Linked DNA regions of Nothobranchius furzeri. The protein of the gene in region 2 interacts with the protein of the main gene of each other region in a biochemical or structural test. Links are inferred from orthologs where the notes say so. Each region holds a gene or a part of one and is shown on either strand. Other genes may lie near its edges.

What was found. The genes of interacting proteins can lie anywhere in the genome.
Region 1: the proteins of cops5 (region 2) and mif form a complex in vitro, tested with the Homo sapiens proteins (2 studies listed by BioGRID). The link is inferred for Nothobranchius furzeri from reciprocal best matches to the Homo sapiens genes COPS5 and MIF.

Annotation. Positions count from the first base shown.
Region 1 is NC_091741.1:91,262,076-91,265,686, forward strand, and holds mif (macrophage migration inhibitory factor), read right to left. Parts: upstream 2,218-3,611; 5' UTR 2,108-2,217; coding exon 2,000-2,107; intron 1,112-1,999; coding exon 939-1,111; intron 835-938; coding exon 768-834; 3' UTR 570-767; downstream 1-569.
Region 2 is NC_091747.1:51,742,101-51,746,457, reverse strand, and holds the start of cops5 (COP9 signalosome complex subunit 5), read left to right. Parts: upstream 1-1,480; 5' UTR 1,481-1,639; coding exon 1,640-1,779; intron 1,780-1,921; coding exon 1,922-2,156; intron 2,157-4,246; coding exon 4,247-4,357. Other genes in the region: centrosome and spindle pole-associated protein 1, read right to left, coding at 15-116, 186-269, 374-471, 533-575. UniProt on the Homo sapiens protein: Probable protease subunit of the COP9 signalosome complex (CSN), a complex involved in various cellular and developmental processes.

The DNA.
Region 1 (3,611 bases), on a different chromosome or scaffold from region 2:
ACAGATGTGGGTTCAACTTTCATTTTGGAACAATTTTTCAAGGGAAGGGCATGATCTGAGCATGCAGGAGGACTGACCCATCTTAAACCTTTGTCGGCTGTGCTGAAGAGAAAGGTACAGAACCAAATTATTTAATTAATTGGCTACGCGTTCTCCTGTCCTCTGTCATCCGGGCCACACACACACACACACGGGACTGTCTCAGCTGTTATTTTCGTTAAGGAGTGTGCACGTACAGCATGCGCACCTCGTGCATGAGCCTACTATTGAAGCTGCCGTCACGCTTTTGGCCTGAGGGGGCAATCGCGAGCATAAACATTCAAAACTCCGTAAAGTCCCTTTTAAAGGTCCTATATCATGCAAAATCCATTGTTGAATGTTTGAAAGAGTGGGTTGTGAAAATAACTTCCATTTCACAAAAATGACATCTCAATAATGCCAATGGTAATATTTATCATATAGTGTGCCTACTATTGCTCTGTAAGGTGTGAAATAGCTGCATGCAGGTCCTTTAAATATGATAAAGTTTCTGAATAGGAGGGCTTACTGACCCAAACAGAAGATATTCATTAATTGTTTCACGTGATTTTCTTTATTCGTTTAATTGCAAAAGGGTCAGTACATAGCAAGGGGGTCCAATCAAGTGCATTTAAGGTACCCCTACAGTATTACCTGGATAACAAAGTGTCTCAGCTCTTTGCTTTATTTACCCTAATACAAGTAGGAAAACACTGGAATGATCTTTTATTTCAGTCTTGACCTCCATCCTAGCCAAAAGTGGTGTTGTTCCAGGCCACATTGGCTGCATCCATGTCCACAAAATTGATATAAATTCTAAAACAGACACCAGAAGAAAGAGGTTAATGAGCAATGAATAGAGGTTGTGTGTTTGATCAAGTCCTACAAAGAGGATCAGCATGCTGATGGGCTACTGTTACCTGTCAGCGGAGACTCCCAGGTGTTTGTTGAGCAACCCACACAGTAGTTTTGAGTACTGCTTGTTCTGGGCGCCACTGATCTTGCCGATGCTGTGGAGGGAGCACAGAGCGCAGGGGTCTCCCTTTCCACCAAACATCATCATTTGGTCAGGGTTAATATTCACAGCAATGTACTGAAGAAAGATGAAGGGAAAAAAGCAATATTAAGTGTCAAACCTAAGTGAGTGAACAAGTCAACAGTTCTTGAAGCAAAGACAAATATTTTTCCATTGTACCTTTACTAATAAGTCTCCAAAAATATTTGTCTGTACAATTTTTTTCCATATTGATGGAATTTAGTCTTTTATATTGAAAGATTTACAACAGCGCTATTTGTAACATTCACTTTTCTGTAGATTTAGCTTTGTTGAAGTCTGTCATTCAAAATCTTGCTTTAAAAATGTTATACTGTACTTTGCTATCGTTTCCCTCAGAATTTTATTTTTTTTCTTAAGATTTCTTTATAATTAATATTTAGATTTTTGAACCTTTAAGTATTTCTGTGTTGAGTTGTTTTGGTGTTTATTTTAATCTTAGTCTTTATTTTTCTCCTGTTGTGGATGTGGCAAAAACATTGCCTCAAAAAAAGGAGGGATTTTCTTTTCTATTAGTGTTTATTTTCGTTTACTTTAAAACTATTTTATGTTATTATGTTCTTTATCCTTTTGAGTTTAGGTGTTTTTTTAATGCTCATCCCACTCTGAAGTAATTTTATTTATTCTTTGTAATTCACTTTATCCATCTTGCATCTGGGAAATTTGGACCAGTGATATATAATCCAGATTAATTCATGTAATTATTTTCAACTATGCAAACTGATCCAAACTGATGAGCCGCTTCCGTCCCTGCAGGTAATCTCTAATGTTATATTAGCATTTTGACAAACATTCTTTCATAATGGATATTATTTAGTATGGTACTGATGTGATTTAGTATATATATCGTTCCATATATAATCAAATGCATCATGGTAAATGATCTGCAGGGTTATAATGGTCTGAAGGAACATCTTCCTGACCTACCTGAGCAGGTTTACCCATCGCTTTAGCTAACTCCTCCGTAGCCTCGGACAGCAGAGCCGCAGGCACGTTGCTTTTAGCCACGTTGGTGTTCACCACAAACATCGGCATGATTGCTTTTTATTTCTTCTCTCCAGCTCAAGCTGCAGACGTTCTTCGTCTCTTTCCAGATCGTAAAGAAGCCACGAGAATGACCTCTTCCTCCTCCTTAAAAATGAAAAACTAATTGACCACAGCGCCACCTCTCATCCTGGAGGACACATGGCAACAAATTTTTAGGCCACATTAGGTCACCAACCTGAAGCTGAGAGCTACTTTCAGGGTTGTGACTGAGCGTTAACCAAGTTTGATACAATAGTGAAAATTTGTGAATTTTGGATTAAAAAGAAATCCTAAGCCTAACCCTAACCCAAATCCAAATCTAAATCATTGATTGGATCAGAAAGCTGGTCTTTAATAGAAACATAAACATTTTAAGGGAAGTTTGCACTTTTGTTGTTAAGAACTTTTTTAATTGCAATTTATCAAAGTTTGTTTTTAACTTTTTTGTCGGTTTTTTTGTTTTTGAAGTACCTTTTTCTTTGTATTGATTAAAAAAGTACATAATAATATACAAATATATAACCTTTGAACTAGAATAGATCAGAGTTAAACTAAAATGTATTTACTATAAACATATTTAAATATTTGTAAAGAAACATGTAGGTTTTAAATCTATAATAATGCATTTGCGATTTTAAAAGATGGCAGCAGGTTTGGAGAAAAGGCCTGTGGGCACCAGATTGGTAAATCCCTTCTTTACACATTTACAAAAGCAAATATGTTCTGACCATCTACATATATACTGGACAATTCATTTCCATAGGCTCCAATAACACGTTTTTGTGCAAAAATGGGAGGTGGCCACCACCGCCATTTTGACCGTGTCACAGGTTCCTTCAAGCCCAGACAATTCTACAAAAGGGAAGAGAGGTGGAGCTGAGGGTGTGGCTGTAAGGCTGGGATCAACTGACGACACCCGGTCGAACTAGCTACAAGCTAACCCAAAGCTAACGCAGAGGTGGGAGCTAAGCTAACGGAGGTAGCAACCTAGCTACAACCGGAGTTAATTGTGCACAACACCAGAGCTTCTGAGTCAGAGATACGCCGGGCTGACCGCTGGGTAAAACCGGGTGGAACACAGAGGTCTCCCGAAAGCTGCTGGAAGCCAGCAGCCCACGCAGCAGACAGAAGCCGCGATTAGACAGAGATGCGCAGAGCTGCGGGGAGGGGAAAAACGGGTGGAAAACATCGGTCTCCCTAGAGCTCCACAAGCCGATAGTCGGAACCCAGCTCCACCAACATGTTATATTTCAACCCATTTTCTATAGTGCAGCATTATCACAATGTAGTTGTGAGCCTGTGTGTGTATTTGTTAGCGGCTCCGCCCTCTCGGTCTGCTAGGCTACAGCATTTGTTGCATTTTTCAAACAGGAAGTGGGAGTGGAGTAAGAATCTGGTAGGGGATGACTCATTCTGAGTTATTTAATAAAAACAGTACAAGTGAAAGATGGAGAATGTCACTAAAAATTATTAAATACTTTGGCTGCAGATCAAACTACGACTCAAAATTCCA
Region 2 (4,357 bases):
AACATGTTTTTCGCCTTTGAGGAGATCGGAGGTGTTCCTCTCTTGGACCTTCTCTTCTGAGCTTGCTCCTGGAGGAAGATGTTGTATTCTTTTTTCCTCTCTTCTCGTAGTCTGCCCTGTGAGAGAGTCACACATGTAACTAAATTTTTAAAATGTGCATGTGCACACAAAACATGCACACACACCTTTATTGATGCTCTCTCGTTGATGGGTAAGGAAAGACCCTGGTGCTCCAGCACCTGGGGCTCACAATTTCTGAAATTATATATCTAGAAGAAGAACAGTGCGGATGATGAAATGGTAAAAAAAAAAAAAGATGGTGACTCTAAAGCTGTTTTAAGATTTCTTTACATTTTTGAGTACATCACCAGACCTTAGCAACACAATCTTTGTTGTCCAGTTGCAGCTCCTGTAGATGTTTCTGCTTGTTTTTTTCATAATCACTTCCCAGCCGCAAACTCATGTCCAAACCTGACAAATAAAATACTTTAAAACACTAAAACCCCACCCCCCAAAAAATGCTCTGCGTTACCTCTGTCTGGGTGCGATGCAGGCGCTGTTGATGCTGGACTCATACTAAAGTCTCATTTACTGAACATCATTATTCCTTGGTTGGAAAAGAAATCCACACAGCAAAATTACTGATTTGTTCATTACCTGAGGTGATTTGAAAGTATAGATGTTTACTCACCCAGCTGCTGCGTGGCATTTTAAGGTGACTTTTCTGTGTTTTGCTCCTTTAAGATCTTCCCATCTTACCATTGACCTACATAAGTATATCAGAAGTATAGAAGGTCCAAATTATTCTAAACTTGCAACCATGGAAGGAAAGACGCTAATATGTTTTATCCGCATCTAAAACCCAAACAAACGCTCATCCGGAAGCACTGCACAAAGTGCGTTGCTAGGGGCAACCATGACACAAAAGATAACCCCAGGAGGCTAACTAACGCTGCTAATACAAAATTGTAAACAAATGTGTCACGCATATAGTCTGAAATTAATTTAGAATTTATTATTTTACTTTTTTACACCCGTGAACACGTTTTATTTAAACCGCAAGTTTACTCACAGCTAAGCTAATAGTAAATATTTTTAGGAGCTGGTTTATATTTAATACATTTCCTGAAATATTTAACAGTAGTTCGGGTTATTTTAATTAATGAACTGACGCAGTTTCTAAAGAAGCGTGAAGAAAAAAAGGGTGTCAGAAACAAACCTGCACATACAAAATCCGCCGCTAGATGTCAGTGCGTCATTAAGTGACTCAACAATAGACCTAACTCTCTGTGGGTGAAACCATCTCTCAGAGGGGTGTTTACACTTACACAAACTGTAACTAAATACCTAAAATCCGCTTTGTTACATATTTAATTTCCACACATGATACAGTATCAATCTTGAAATTATGTACAATGTTTTAAAATGTTCAAGAAAGGATTCAGTTTAAATATTGCAACCAAAGGAAACGTCAAACCTGGGAATTGGTATTGTTCACTGTCATGGCTTCCTGAGCGAGCGGTTGTTGGGGCCTAAATCATCTACGCTGAAATATCGCTTTTCTTCGTTCATTTGACTGGGAATTTAAGGGCTTAAATACTGTTTTTTATTATTATAATTATTTTAGCCCGATTAAATCATGATGACCGGCAACAGCACGGCTCAGAAAACATGGGAGCTGTCTAACAGAATGCAGGAAGTCCAGAGCATCGATGAAATTTACAAATATGACAAAAAGCAACAACAAGAAATCCTCGCTGCGAAGCCATGGACAAAGGAGTGGGTTAAATACGGAAACGAATGATGAATTTTCAAACACTTAGTCTTCTGTTGTGATATTTAGGTGTACTTAAAGCAATAGTTCGTTTTTTAGTTATGCCTCTTGTTTGTTTATTAACTGTGCTTCTTCTAACTCCCTCAGTCACCACTACTTCAAATACTGCAAGATCTCAGCTCTGGCCCTGTTAAAGATGGTGATGCACGCCAGGTCTGGTGGAAACCTGGAGGTGATGGGTCTCATGCTGGGAAAGGTGGATGGAGAAACCATGATCATCATGGACAGCTTTGCTCTGCCAGTGGAGGGGACAGAGACCAGAGTCAACGCGCAGGCTGCAGCTTATGAATACATGGCTGCCTACATAGAAAATGCCAAACAGGTAAAATCAAAGCCTGCATGTTGCTTCCTGTGGCGATACACTTCATTTTACATGGGTATAGACATTTTAGAATATTTTTAATTGTGTTTTAACGATACAATGTTAGATTTACCTGTAGCTGTCTTTATGGATCCACATGCAATCAGACGAGAATAAGCAAAGAACACACATGCAGTGGTGCTCTCAGAAAGGTTTTAATGGGGGGCCAGTGAAAATTTTGGGGCAGCACACCCCATTAGTGGAGTTTATCCTGTTGCCATTGAATGCTCCTTCACCTAAAATCTGTTAGTTTCGTTGACAAAATAGTTTTAGGGTTGTTATTTTTGTGACAAATTAATTTTTGTGAACAAAAACTAAAATGTATTACTTCTATAAAGACTAAATTATGACTAACATTGATTGACGCATTACTTGATGAATAAGATGACAACAAAATTTGACTGTAACTAGGGCTGCAACAACAAATCGATAAAAATCGATGAAGAACTGCATTGGCAAGCATGGCCAAAAATGTATTTGGAATTCAGTAGTTTTATAAAACAGGTAACATAAAAACTCAAGCAGGTAACTTTCAGAATGTTCCTTTGGGGCGTTTTAAAGCATCTACCACACACACACAGACACACACACACACACATTCATAATAACCATGTGCCATTGTTATTTAGGGTGGTCGCTTTCTTTTATCTGACTAGAAATAAATTTACAGGAAGTTGTTAGTGACATTTAAAGAGCAAGTCACCCCTTACAAGAAGCGTACTTCACTCCCACTTCATGTTTGAAAAATGCAACAAATGCTGTTGCCTAGCAGACCGAGAGGGTGGAGCCACTAACAAATACACACACTCATGACATTGTGACATCATAATGTACCAGTTTACATCATAGCATACCTCTTAGCCAATAGCGGTGGCAGATTTAAATTCAAATGCAGTGCAGAGTTTTTACCTGACAACGGCACAACACTGACAGTTTCAGGCAGAAAATTTAAATTTTTACTAAAATGCACTAAAGTGCAAAACTATTGACTACACGTGTCTACAACACGATTAGACAAGCATTTATATAGTTTATCAGGAAAAAATAATTGATTTGGGGGTGACTTGCTCTTTAACCTTTATTCTTTTTTATTTAAAAAGAATAACAACAATTAATTATTTATAATGACATTTTTATCATAACTCGACTAATTCCCAGGAATCTATCGAAGGCAACAGGCGTGTGTAAATTAAAAATGTTTTTCTAATAAACAAGTTGGCTCCTTTGTTTAATTAGCAATGGACCGATATGAAATTTTTGGGCCGATACCGATAATAATAATATCACTGTTATGGCCGATAACCAAACGTCGATACCGATATACTGAAATTAATGCTTCTGAAATCAGCAGAATTTGTATAGTCTGAAAATTATTAAAGCTGAATTTATGTTATTATGTACACACAACACACACATTTATGCTTCTGAGATGATTACAACCACTGTCACATGACTAAACAAACACACATCATCCCCCTCACCCTCTGAAACAGATAAACAAGTGGAAACAAGATGGAAAAAATATCAGTTGTTAATATTGGCCTGGTTTTATTTATCGGACGATAACGATATGTTAAAAAATGACTAACATCGGCTGATATTGATGCCAATATGTTGTGCATCCCTAATGTCAACAATTAGATTTAAAACAATATTACTGCTTATTTCTATTTGTATTTGGCAGAATGTTAATTATGAGTGTGAGTGCAATTGTACAGAAGCTCTACGATGCACATTACAAATGCATTGTGTTGGAGTTGGAGCTGGGTGCTGAATTGCTCTGTGTTTTTGCCGTGGTGAATTTCATGCTGGAGTAATAAAACAAAACGTGTGCATCAACTGTTTCTACTACTCCACTAGGGTGTGATAAATGATTTATTTTTCCCTTTTTCCATCGTTTTGAACCGTTTTTTAGGATAAATCTGTTGTTTCTCTAGAAATAATCTTCAGTTTGAAACAGTTTGGAGTATTATATTAACTAGTAGGGAAGCAGTCCTTTTATAAAAATGTTTGTGTCGTATTAAATCTGTACCATCGGTCTCATCTGGTAGGTTGGTCGGTTGGAGAACGCCATTGGCTGGTACCACAGTCACCCCGGCTACGGATGCTGGCTCTCCGGCATAGACGTCAGCACTCAGATGCTCAACCAGCAGTTTCAGGAA